Macaca fascicularis: one gene and its partners. The protein of the gene in region 2 purifies or fractionates together with the protein of the main gene of each other region. This does not show direct contact. Links are inferred from orthologs where the notes say so. Each region holds a gene or a part of one and is shown on either strand. Other genes may lie near its edges.

Evidence for each region. Proteins that work in one complex are often made in the same cells at the same time.
Region 1: the proteins of DCAF4 (region 2) and CUL4B purify together in Homo sapiens (affinity purification with mass spectrometry; 9 studies listed by BioGRID and IntAct, counting the BioPlex papers as one, with this or other methods). This does not show direct contact. The link is inferred for Macaca fascicularis from reciprocal best matches to the Homo sapiens genes DCAF4 and CUL4B.
Region 3: the proteins of DCAF4 (region 2) and COPS5 purify together in Homo sapiens (affinity purification with mass spectrometry; 4 studies listed by BioGRID and IntAct, counting the BioPlex papers as one, with this or other methods). This does not show direct contact. The link is inferred for Macaca fascicularis from reciprocal best matches to the Homo sapiens genes DCAF4 and COPS5.

The regions. Positions count from the first base shown.
Region 1 is NC_088395.1:126,811,059-126,814,558, forward strand, and holds part of CUL4B (cullin-4B), read right to left. Parts: intron 2,472-3,500; coding exon 2,364-2,471; intron 1,378-2,363; coding exon 1,264-1,377; intron 37-1,263; coding exon 1-36.
Region 2 is NC_088381.1:140,826,759-140,830,258, forward strand, and holds part of DCAF4 (DDB1- and CUL4-associated factor 4), read left to right. Parts: exon of another isoform or gene 1-873; intron 874-980; coding exon 981-1,082; intron 1,083-1,204; coding exon 1,205-1,302; intron 1,303-2,678; coding exon 2,679-2,852; intron 2,853-3,500. UniProt on the Homo sapiens protein: May function as a substrate receptor for CUL4-DDB1 E3 ubiquitin-protein ligase complex.
Region 3 is NC_088382.1:77,031,989-77,035,488, forward strand, and holds part of COPS5 (COP9 signalosome complex subunit 5), read right to left. Parts: intron 3,477-3,500; exon of another isoform or gene 3,303-3,476; intron 1,613-3,302; coding exon 1,464-1,612; intron 1-1,463. UniProt on the Homo sapiens protein: Probable protease subunit of the COP9 signalosome complex (CSN), a complex involved in various cellular and developmental processes.

The sequences.
Region 1 (3,500 bases), on a different chromosome or scaffold from region 2:
TGTTTGAAAAAGAGAGACCTGGAGTTCTTTTTTACCCTGTTGAAGAAATAAAAGTGTTTAGCCATTACTTTTTTAAAAACACATGAAAAATTAATCAAATCATCTCTTACAGGAAAAGCATTTTTCAATTAGTAGATTTAGAAACATGATTAGCATTATCCAGCAAAGCCACTTGACGTAGTAATACAGTATTTCAGTGTGGGGTTTAGGTGTGACCCTACCTAAAACAGGGGGAAGGATTAGCTGACCTTTTAACAGTTTTTTTTAAGCCTTATAAATAGAATAAAGTAATGAAAATTAATCAGCCTTATGTGTCATTCTAGATCTTCATCACAAGCAGCAAGAAATCACTATTTCAAATGTATTTTTTATTTGTTTGGCTCAGATTAGTCATGAAAAGCTAAAGTTTTTTGAGATTAGATATTGCACACTGTTCCCCTTAACTCCCACTCTATTCGTAGCTCCCAGCAACAAAATTTCTGTCAAGAAGTGGCAGTGTTAGGCTGGGTGTAGTTGCTCATGCCTGTAATCCCAGCACTTTAGGAAGCGGAGGCAGGAAGATAGCTTGAGCCCATAAGTTTGAGGTTACAGTGAACTGTGATTGTGCCACTGTACTCCTGCCTGGGTGACAAGAGTGGGACCCTGTCTCTAAAAGTAAATAAATAAATAAAAATAGGAAGTGGCAGTGTAAAGTTTTCATCTACAGGTGAGGAAAGAGTAGGGGAAAAGTTCATTGCTTTTCGTTTTGCAAAAGGGCCAAATCAATTGTGGAAAGACCACACAGCTAAAATTACTTAAAAATACATAAAGCTATGACAAGCTCTCACTGTCGTCATGCGGATATCTAGGATACAATTATAAAACAATAGCTTAAACTGGCCAAACGCGGTGGCTCATGCCTATAATCCCAGCACTTTGGGAGGCTGAGGCAGGTGGATCACAAGGTCAAGAGATAGAGACCATCCTGGCCAACATGGTGAAACCCCGTCTCTACTAAAAATATAAAAAAATTAGCTGGGCATGGTGGCGCACGCCTGTAGTCCCAGCCACTCGGGAGGCTGAGGCAGGAGAATCACTTGAACCTGGGAGGCGGAGGTTGCGGTGAGCCAAGATAGCGCCACTGCACTCCACCCTGAGACAGAGTGAGACTCTGTCTGAAAAAAAAAAAAACACAAAACAATAGCCTAACCTTTTAGTTAAGAAAGATGACCTAAATATTAAAGACAAAGATGAAAACTAAAAGTTTTGGGAACATCCACTTACCTCTTTAAATTCTGCTTTAAGCACACAGTGTCCTAGGGTTGACTGCCACTGAAGTTTCCTGCCACTATGTTTGCCTAGGTAAAATGTCTTGAAAATCTCCTGAAGTTTTACCATCTAAAGTAAATAAAATAAGGCTTTATTTAAGCTCTATACCCAATACTACATTTACCACTTTTTATACTTACCTCATGTGATATAATTTCTGGAAAATTTTAAGACTGTATCCAGTAGGTCCACCAATCACTTTGATGAAAAATAATGATCTCCCAACCACCAAATCAAATGGGATTTATTAGGATTTATACCCTTTGCTCTATCTGAACCATTTAATCATCCACTCTTTTGAAACACTGACCTGCAGCAGCTTTTGTGCCTCTATACTATGCTGGTTCCTTTATCTCACTGTTGCTTCTGCACTGGTTTCCTTCACAGGTTCCTCTTTCTACCATCTGCCAAATGTGAGCCTTTTCTAAAGTTCTGCCTCTGCTGTTTTTTCTTCCTCTTTGAGACAGATCTACTCCCTGGGCCTTCATAACCATCTCCATGGAGGATTCTCAATATCTAGCTGTCTAGCCTTAATCCCTTTTATGGACTTCAGTCCTGGGCTAGACAGTTTCCCAGGAGTCAGGATAGATTTAATCAAGCACCCATCATTTAGCAATCCCACCTATGGGTGAAATATGTGCAAGAATTCTTAATAACTAGGTAGAATGAGGGGTATAATCTGTGAAGATGGAAGAAGAGCCAGGGAAATTGATCCTGAACCCAGAACTTTGGCATTATTAGCTAGGCTCTTAACTGGACTTAGAAGTACAAAAGTAAAATATTAAAGCAGTTGGTATTTGGTGTTGGTGTGTTTACTGACATTCACTTTTAAAAGTATCTATGCCAGGCCTGGTGACTCACACCTGTAATCCCAGTACTTTGGAAGGTTGAGGCAGGGGGGATCACTTGAGCCCAAGAGTTCAAGACCAGCCTGAGCAATACAGTGAGGCCCTGGGTCTCTATTTTTTTCTAAGTATCTATTTTTAAATGATAAGCAAAATGGAAATGTTATGATTTCTATGCCTATAACTCAGGTTCTAAACAGTAACTCTTACCTCTGGTGGTAAATGAACTTCCATAGGCACATATGTTGGCCAATAGCCCATTGTCAGGATATTCACAGTTAATTCAATATTTCCCGGAACATTCTGATTCTGCATATACTGTAAGATCAAAACACACACTGAGATCTTAAAACTGCATACATTTCGTATCATAATAACCTATTTAAGAAGTTCCCCGTTATGAAATTATATGCAAACACTGACCATCCTTAAAATAAAAGGCAATTATTAAGAGGACTTTAAATGAAGCCTACACAAAATGCATTAGGCAAGTACAGAGGTTAACATTTTGATACAAAGGCATACAAGGATCACATGACCTCATTACAGGCATTATCAACTTAAATAATTTCTCACATACAGCTGGGCTGTTATAGGATCTCTCCTCCACTCTTTTCCCCAATACCACCTGCAGTCCCCACCTTTGAATACCCCTACATGGCTTAAACATCTTGCAGCAATCCCCATTCCTCACCCCACCAGCCAGCCCAAGTCTCCAGTTTTTCGCTTGCTCCACTGCCTGTCTGCAGGGAGTGGCCTGGAGTAGGGAAGGAAAAAGAGGGGAAAAGGGCAAAGCAGATAAGCCCCATTCGGTAGCTACTATAGAATTCATAATCTTACTGACCCTGATTTTTTCTTAATTCTTTCACTTCCACTTCCCACCTTAGCAACATTGTGGGGTAAAGAAGTCACTACTAAAACCCCAAAAGAGGAAAATCTAACTTGCCATCACTATCACCTATGTTCTTAAACATTTCAAAACTACTTTCTACCTACATCTTCAAAACTGTGGATCTAGCTTTCTATCCCCAGTGTCCCCAAAGGCTTTATCCAGCTACATTATCACTTCTCCTCTCTCCCCACTGCAAGCTCTGAACATGCAAATCACCAAATGATAAGATGCTGGGGAAAGCCCTGTTCCCACTATAGCTCTTCTTGTACTGACTTCAGTTCAATACATTTTATTTTTATTTTTGTGTTACTCTGGGTGTTTGTTAAAAATAAATCCTAAAGTAGGTCAAATATACTTATATTTCACCAATGGTTTTTTTTCTACTGTGAATATCACCTCAGTTACCATGAAGTAATTACAACAAACACGTTTCTATTTATCCTCTTCAGTACAAA
Region 2 (3,500 bases):
TCAGCCTCCCGAGTAGATGGGATTACAGGCATGTTCTACCACACCTGGCTATTTTTGTACTTTTAGTAGAGATGGGATTTCTCCATGTTGGTGAGGCTGGTCTCGAACTCCTGACCTCAGGTGATCCACCCGCCTTGGCCTGCCAAAGTGCTGGGATTACAGGCGTGAGCCACCGCGCCCGGCCTGGATTGTTCTGTTTCTCAACCTGATTGGCGGGTACGTGGCTATATTTAGTTTGTAATAACTCCCTGAACTGTATCCTTCCAATGTGTACGTTCTATCAATGCAAAAGTTTATTTTAAAAAATATTTTATCAAAGCATGGTGACTCATGCCTGTAATCCCAACACTTTGGGAGGCCAAGGCAGGATAATCATTTGAGCCCAGGAGTTCGAGACCAGCCTGAGCAACATAGCAAGACTCCAATCTCTACAAAAAATAAATAATAAGCCATGTGTGGTGACTCACACCTGTGGTCCCAGCTACTTGGGAGGCTGAGATGGGAGGATTTCTTGAGCCTGGGAAGTTGAGGATGCATTGAGCCATGATCATGCCACTGCACTCCAGACTGGGCAAAAGAACAAGACCCTGTCTTAAAAATACGTATATCTATATATATCTTTATGTGTGTGTGTGTGTGTCTGTGTGTGCGTATGTATATACACACACACTTGCCTGAGATCACATAGCTGGTAGGTGATCGAGGATCGGAGCCACCTTACCTCTGACAGTACACTACCTCCTTGATATCAGTACTATAAACGTGACTACTGGGAATGTTAACATACATGCATTTTCAGAATAACCACTTGTGAGCCAGGCATCCCAGCTGAGCCTCTCTCTTGCAACCACAAAACCCAGAATGGGGCCAAAGGTATAGACCCTCTGAGCAGCTATGGGCATATTTAGATGTTTTCTGAACCCAGTGGTCCCTGGCCTGGCTAGAGGGCAGCCACAATTTACATTCTCCTATCCCCTTAGCAGGAATAGACCGGCCTGGCATGCTCTGCAGTTTCCGGATCCCTGGTGCCTGGTCCTGTGCCTGGTCCCTGAATATCCAAGCAAATAACTGCTTCAGTACAGGTGAGCCTGGCTCCCCAGGTGCCCAGAGAAGAGGCCTTAACAGACCTTAAAACCCCTGTAGCTGTCCCTCTCCCCAGACTACATGTGACATAATCTCACCAGCCTATCTCTGTCTCCGCCAGGCTTGTCTCGGCGGGTCCTGTTGACCAACGTGGTGACGGGACACCGGCAGTCCTTTGGGACCAACAGTGATGTCTTGGCCCAGCAGTTTGCTCTCATGGTTAGTTGGATTGGGACAGGCAGAATATAAAGTTTGCCCCGTGCAGAAATTTGGCCAGATTGAAATTGGACTCCTCTGTGTGCCATCTAGTCGTCTTTGACAGGGGAGAAAGAGCATCAGAAAGGCTCAGTGGGTTCCTTTGTAAGCGTGTCTGAACTGAGTGAAAGTTGGTTGATCCAGAAAGGCTTGCCTGAGTTGCTCTAAACAACCTCTCATGGAAAGGAATTGTGAGCAGTTCTTGGGTACTTGGAGTTACCCAGCAGGACAAACCATCTTTAAAATGTATAAGCTAAACACCAATTCTTCACAGCTCTCAGGTTATATGTTTTATATATTTAAAAAATCAGGGCCGGGCACGGTGGCTCACGCCTGTAATCCCAGCACTTTGGGAGGCCGAGACGGATGGATCACGAGGTCAGGAGATCGAGACCATCCTGGCTAACACAGTGAAACTCCATCTCTACTAAAAATACAAAAATTAGCCAGGTGTGGTGGCGGGCGCCTGTAGTCCCACCTACACGGCAGGCTGAGACAGGAGAATGGCGTGAACCTGGGAGGCAGAGCTTGCAGTGAGCCGATATCGCACCACTGCACTCCAGCCTGGGCAACAGAGTGAGACTCCATCTCAAAAAAAAAAAAGAATTTAAGCTTGATAAATTCAAGTCAGTTTAAAAAAAAAAAAAAATCAGGCCAGGTGCAGTGGCTCATGGCTGTAATCCCAGCACTTTGGGAGGCCGAGATGGGTAGATCACGAGGTCAGGAGTTTGAAACCAGCCTAGCCAAGATAGTGAAACCTCTTCTCTACTAAAAATACAAAAATTAGCTGGGTGTGGTGCCAGGCGCCTGTAATCCCAGCTGCTCAGGAGGCTGAGGCAGGAGAATCACCTGAACCCGGGAGGCGGAGGTTGCAGTGAGCCGAGATGGCACCACTGCACTCTAGCCTGGGCGACAGGGCAAGGCTCTGTCTCAAAAAAAAGTGGTCATAACTATATTTTAAGGACTTTTCTCTAGAAAATACCATCTTTCCTTAAAAGTGAATGAACCTGCTGACCCGCCTTTGGTAGAGATGGGGTGCTATCTCTGGGACTTCAGAGAGAAAGGCCAAAGGCGGCAGTGCGTGGGGGGGCGGGGAGCAGGCAGCTCCTAGGACCTCTATGCTGCCCATGAGGAGGACACGTGGGGTCTGGTTCTTCTAGCCACTAACAAGGAATCATCCTCCCTTCCAACTCCATTGAGACCCAAACCCTGACCAGCACGTGTCTGATCACACCATCCAACCCAGAGGCTGGAAGAGGGGTTATAGCAGGAGGACCTGCCCCGCCCAGCCTCAGAGGGAGGTCATGGTAGCCAGGACCGAGCAGGCCCTCTTTCCACAGGTTCCTCTGCTGTTTAATGGCTGCCGCTCTGGGGAAATCTTTGCCATTGATCTGCGTTGTGGAAATCAAGGCAAGGGATGGAAGGCCACCCGCCTGTTTCATGACTCAGCAGTGACCTCTGTGCGGATCCTCCAAGATGAGCAATACCTGATGGCATCAGACATGGCTGGAAAGGTAGGGGATCATGAACTTTCTCAGGCCACAGGGTCTCGTGGCCCAGAGACCTGCCAGGTGAAAGGGTTCTGCTGAAGAGGTCCTCATACCGAGACCCCAGGCAGGGGAAGTTCACTGAAGACCAAGTGATTTGTTGGCCCTGCCTGGGGACTGCTTTGTTGCCCATATGAGCCTAATCTGATGTGAACAAAAGTGAAAAGGATTCTTTGGTTGTGTACCTTTTTTTTTTTTTTTTTTTTTTTTTTTTTGCAACGAAGTCTTGCTGTGTTGCCCAGGCCGGAGTGCAATGGTGCAATCTCGGCTCACTGCAACCTCCATCTCTCAGGTTCAAGCGATTCTCCTGCCTCAGCCTCCTGAGTAGCTGAGATTGCAGGCACCCGGATAATTTTTGTATTTTTAGTAGAGACGGGGTTTCACCATGTTGGTCAGGCTGATCTCAAACTCCTGACCTCATGATCTGCCCACCTTGGCCTCCCAAAGTGCTGGGATTACAGACTTGAGCCACCACGCCCGACCTGGTTACATGCTTTTGATGGACTCCAAGGCTCAGGAATTCGAGATGGAGATCTTCATGACCTGCACAGGCCACTGGAGACCACCTTGCCTTCCTGGCTTCGCACTTGGGGACCACCGTTGTACCTCCTGGCC
Region 3 (3,500 bases), on a different chromosome or scaffold from region 2:
CACTAGCTCTACCTTCTAAAAACCCACTGAGTAGATGGCAGTGAAATAAGGCTAACCCAAAATGACCTCCAATCCCAGGATACACTTCAGGGACCCTTTTCTCCTCTTTTCCCTATAAACCAAACCAGTTCTTAAAATAGATACCAACATGTAAGTGTGTATAGAAGTCAATGTAGTTCTCCCTTCCTTTCTGCCCCTAATTATTGCATTACAATTCAAATTTCTTTTCTTTCTTTCTTTTTTTGAGACAGAGGTTCACTCTTGTTGGCCAGGCTGGAGTGAAATGGCGCCATCTTGGCTCACTGCAATCTCCACCTCCTGGGTTGAGGCGATGCTCCTGCCACGGCCTCCCGAGTAGCTGGGATTACAGGCGCCCGCCACCACGCCTGGCTAATTTTTGTATTTTTAGTAGAGACGGGCTTTTACCATGTTGGCCAGGCTGGTCTTGAACTCCTGACCTCAGGTGATCTGCCCGCCTTGGCCTCCCAAAGTGCTGGGATTACAGGTGTGAGCCACTGTGCCCAGCCTAAAATTCAAATTTCTGTGAAAGTAAATGTTGTTAATCTATGCAACTTTGTATAGCCTATATATCTGAAGGTCCACATAATTATTTCATAAGTTATTAGAGAACATATCCCAAATTTGTTCCTAATAAAATCTTTGGTAGTAAAATTTGGGATACTAAATTACTGTTTTAGAAGCACAATTTGAGAGAGAGACAATCACTTCCGTAATATCTTAGGATTTAAAGCTTTATTGAATATTAAAATATTATAAATTTAAGAAATCCTAATTTTGGCTGGGCGCGGTGGTTCGTGCCTGTAATCCCAGCACTTTGGGAGGCCCAGGTGGGTGGATCACCTGAGGTCAGGAGTTCAAGACCAGCCTGGCCAACATGGTGAAACCCCATCTCTACAAAAAATACAAAAAAATTAGCCAAGCATGATGGTGGGTGCCTATATTCCCAGTTACCTAGGAGGCTGAGGCAGGAGAATTGCTTGCATCCAGTAGGCGGAGGTTGCAGTGAGCCAAGATCACACCATTGTACCACTGTACTCCAGCCTGGGTGACAGAGCAAGACTCTGTCTCAAAAAAAAGAAATCCTAGTTACTTACACACACACACACACACACACACACACACACACACACTTTAAAGATCCACTGAAGGGCTGGTTTTGTTACACTTTCTAGTTGAACTTAGAAAAGGTGACTGGGAGTGTTCCATAACACTGCTTAGATCTTTGATTTAAGCCTTTTAATGTTCTTACCTGATGTATCCTAAATTTTTCAAAGTTAAAACTTGTGTCTGACAGCTCCTAAAGTTTCCAAGAAGTTAATATTCAGGTACCGTTCTAAGTCGTAACTAAGTTGAGCCATAAGGAATCTGAATCCTACTATTGTTTGCAAATTTTGAAAGAAAAAGAGTTAGGGGCAACAAGAATCTTACAGATTTACTCTTACCTGTCTCTCGTAGCTTTGGCAAGTTTGTCTTCTGATTTTCTGTCATGCGTTTCCAAACCCAGCATGAAACTCCCTCGTCCCAGCTGGGCTTCTGACTGCTCTAACTTTTCAGACAAATCAAAGACCTGACCAGTGGTATAGTCTGCATTCTGTGGGGAAAATGGTATTGTGTCACTACAAAACATAAGTCTACCATTTAAAAAATCTATTTTAATGTAAACTAATTTCCTACAAAGAATATTTCATTTGCAAAGAATTCCACTATAAAATCTGAGTGAATAGTCAGTGAGAAGAGAAATCAAATTACATTTGCAAATCTGCTTCCAAATTCAGGTAGTTCAAGAGTAGATAGATGTTTTCCCTTTTATAATTTCAAGATTACTTGGAATTTTTCTCCTTGACTGCTTAAATCTAATATTTGTTATTATGGGAGGCTGTCAAGTATACAGACCTAAGTCCAAGTTCTGGAAGTATGGCAGATTAGTTGAAGGCCTGAAGTATGCCTCCAGGTTCTCTTCTGAAAATGGTAAGGGAGTCGATAATTCCTACCTTAGAGCTACAGTGAAAATTAAATGAAGTAATGCATATAAAGTTTTTGGCACTGTCCATGACACCTAGTAAAGGCTTAGTAATATTAGCTAATTTTGCTATTATTTTTGTTGAACTTTTAGAATTAGTACTTATGACAATATTGATAAAAATAACATTTTAAAAGCTTTTCTGGGTCGGGCGCGGTGGCTCATGCCTATAATCCGCATTTTGAGAGGCTGAGGCAGGTGGATCACCTGAGGTCAGGAGTTTGAGACCAGCCTGGCCAACAAGATGAAACCCCATCTCTACTAAAAATACAAAAAAAAATAGCTGGGCGTGGTGGCAGGAGCCTGTAATCCCAGCTACTTGGGAGGCTGAGGCAGGAGAATCACTTGAACCCAGGAGGCGGAGGTTGCAGTGAGCCGAAATCGTGCCATTGTACTCTAGCCTGGGCAACAAGAGCAAAACTCTGTCTTTAAAAAACAAACAAACAAACAAACAAAAAATCTTTTCTGGTTACAAAATTAATAATTATACAAAAAAATTTGGAAAATGTAGAGCAATATAAAGAAGAAAACAAACACATTTATAATCTCTTCATTTAGCTTTAACCACAATTACAGAGCATTGCTATATGCTTACATGTATACCTACATTTGAAAAACTATAATATTACATATTTTACCAATATTTTTATGGGGTATACTTTTTTAATTGTAGTCTAAAACACACAAAAAAATTTCACAAAGTTATTAAGTATACATTATATTTCTTTCCTAGATCTTCAATAGAAGAGTGTGAAGAGGAAATAAACTAGTTGGCAAAAAGTAGCATGTCATTCTATTTGCTCAGCTTGCAAGGAAAGACAGTCAGTCACCAAACAAGAAAAGTTATTTGCTGCCATACCAGTTCTTCCAGTGACTTTTACAAACTTAGTATTTTTAAAAGATGCAAGTATATTCATTTTGTCTGGATCTAAATGGTTTAGGAAACCAGTATGTTTTTCCTCCCGCAGACTTGGAAAAAACCCTAAAGTTTATAGAGCTATTTAAGCCATAAAAATATAGGCTACCAGAAATAGTTATACTATTAAAATGACAATAAAAGATATCCAATTACATTTCAAATGTACACAAAATGAATATAGTAAACTAATTTCTTAAATTAGAAAATAACTTAGGTTACATGCTATAATGAACTTCCTTAGCTGGGGGAAGAGAGAAGTTGAACATATGTCTACATATTTGTTCTTAAAATGCTGCAATGTACTATACATAAAACAAAAAAAAGGCAGAAATGTAATTTAACCTTTTCTTGATTATTAATGTCCTCATCTATGCAGTGCTGGAATACAGGGACAGACATTGGGCTGAGTAGGTAGATCTGCTTGCCTTATACAAAGGTTCAGACTGCTCTGGTCTTACAGTGTTTTCTCCCCTTGCCATCAGGTGTCACTTCTGGCTGCTATTAGTATACTTGCCTCTAAGGAAACAACACATATAAAGC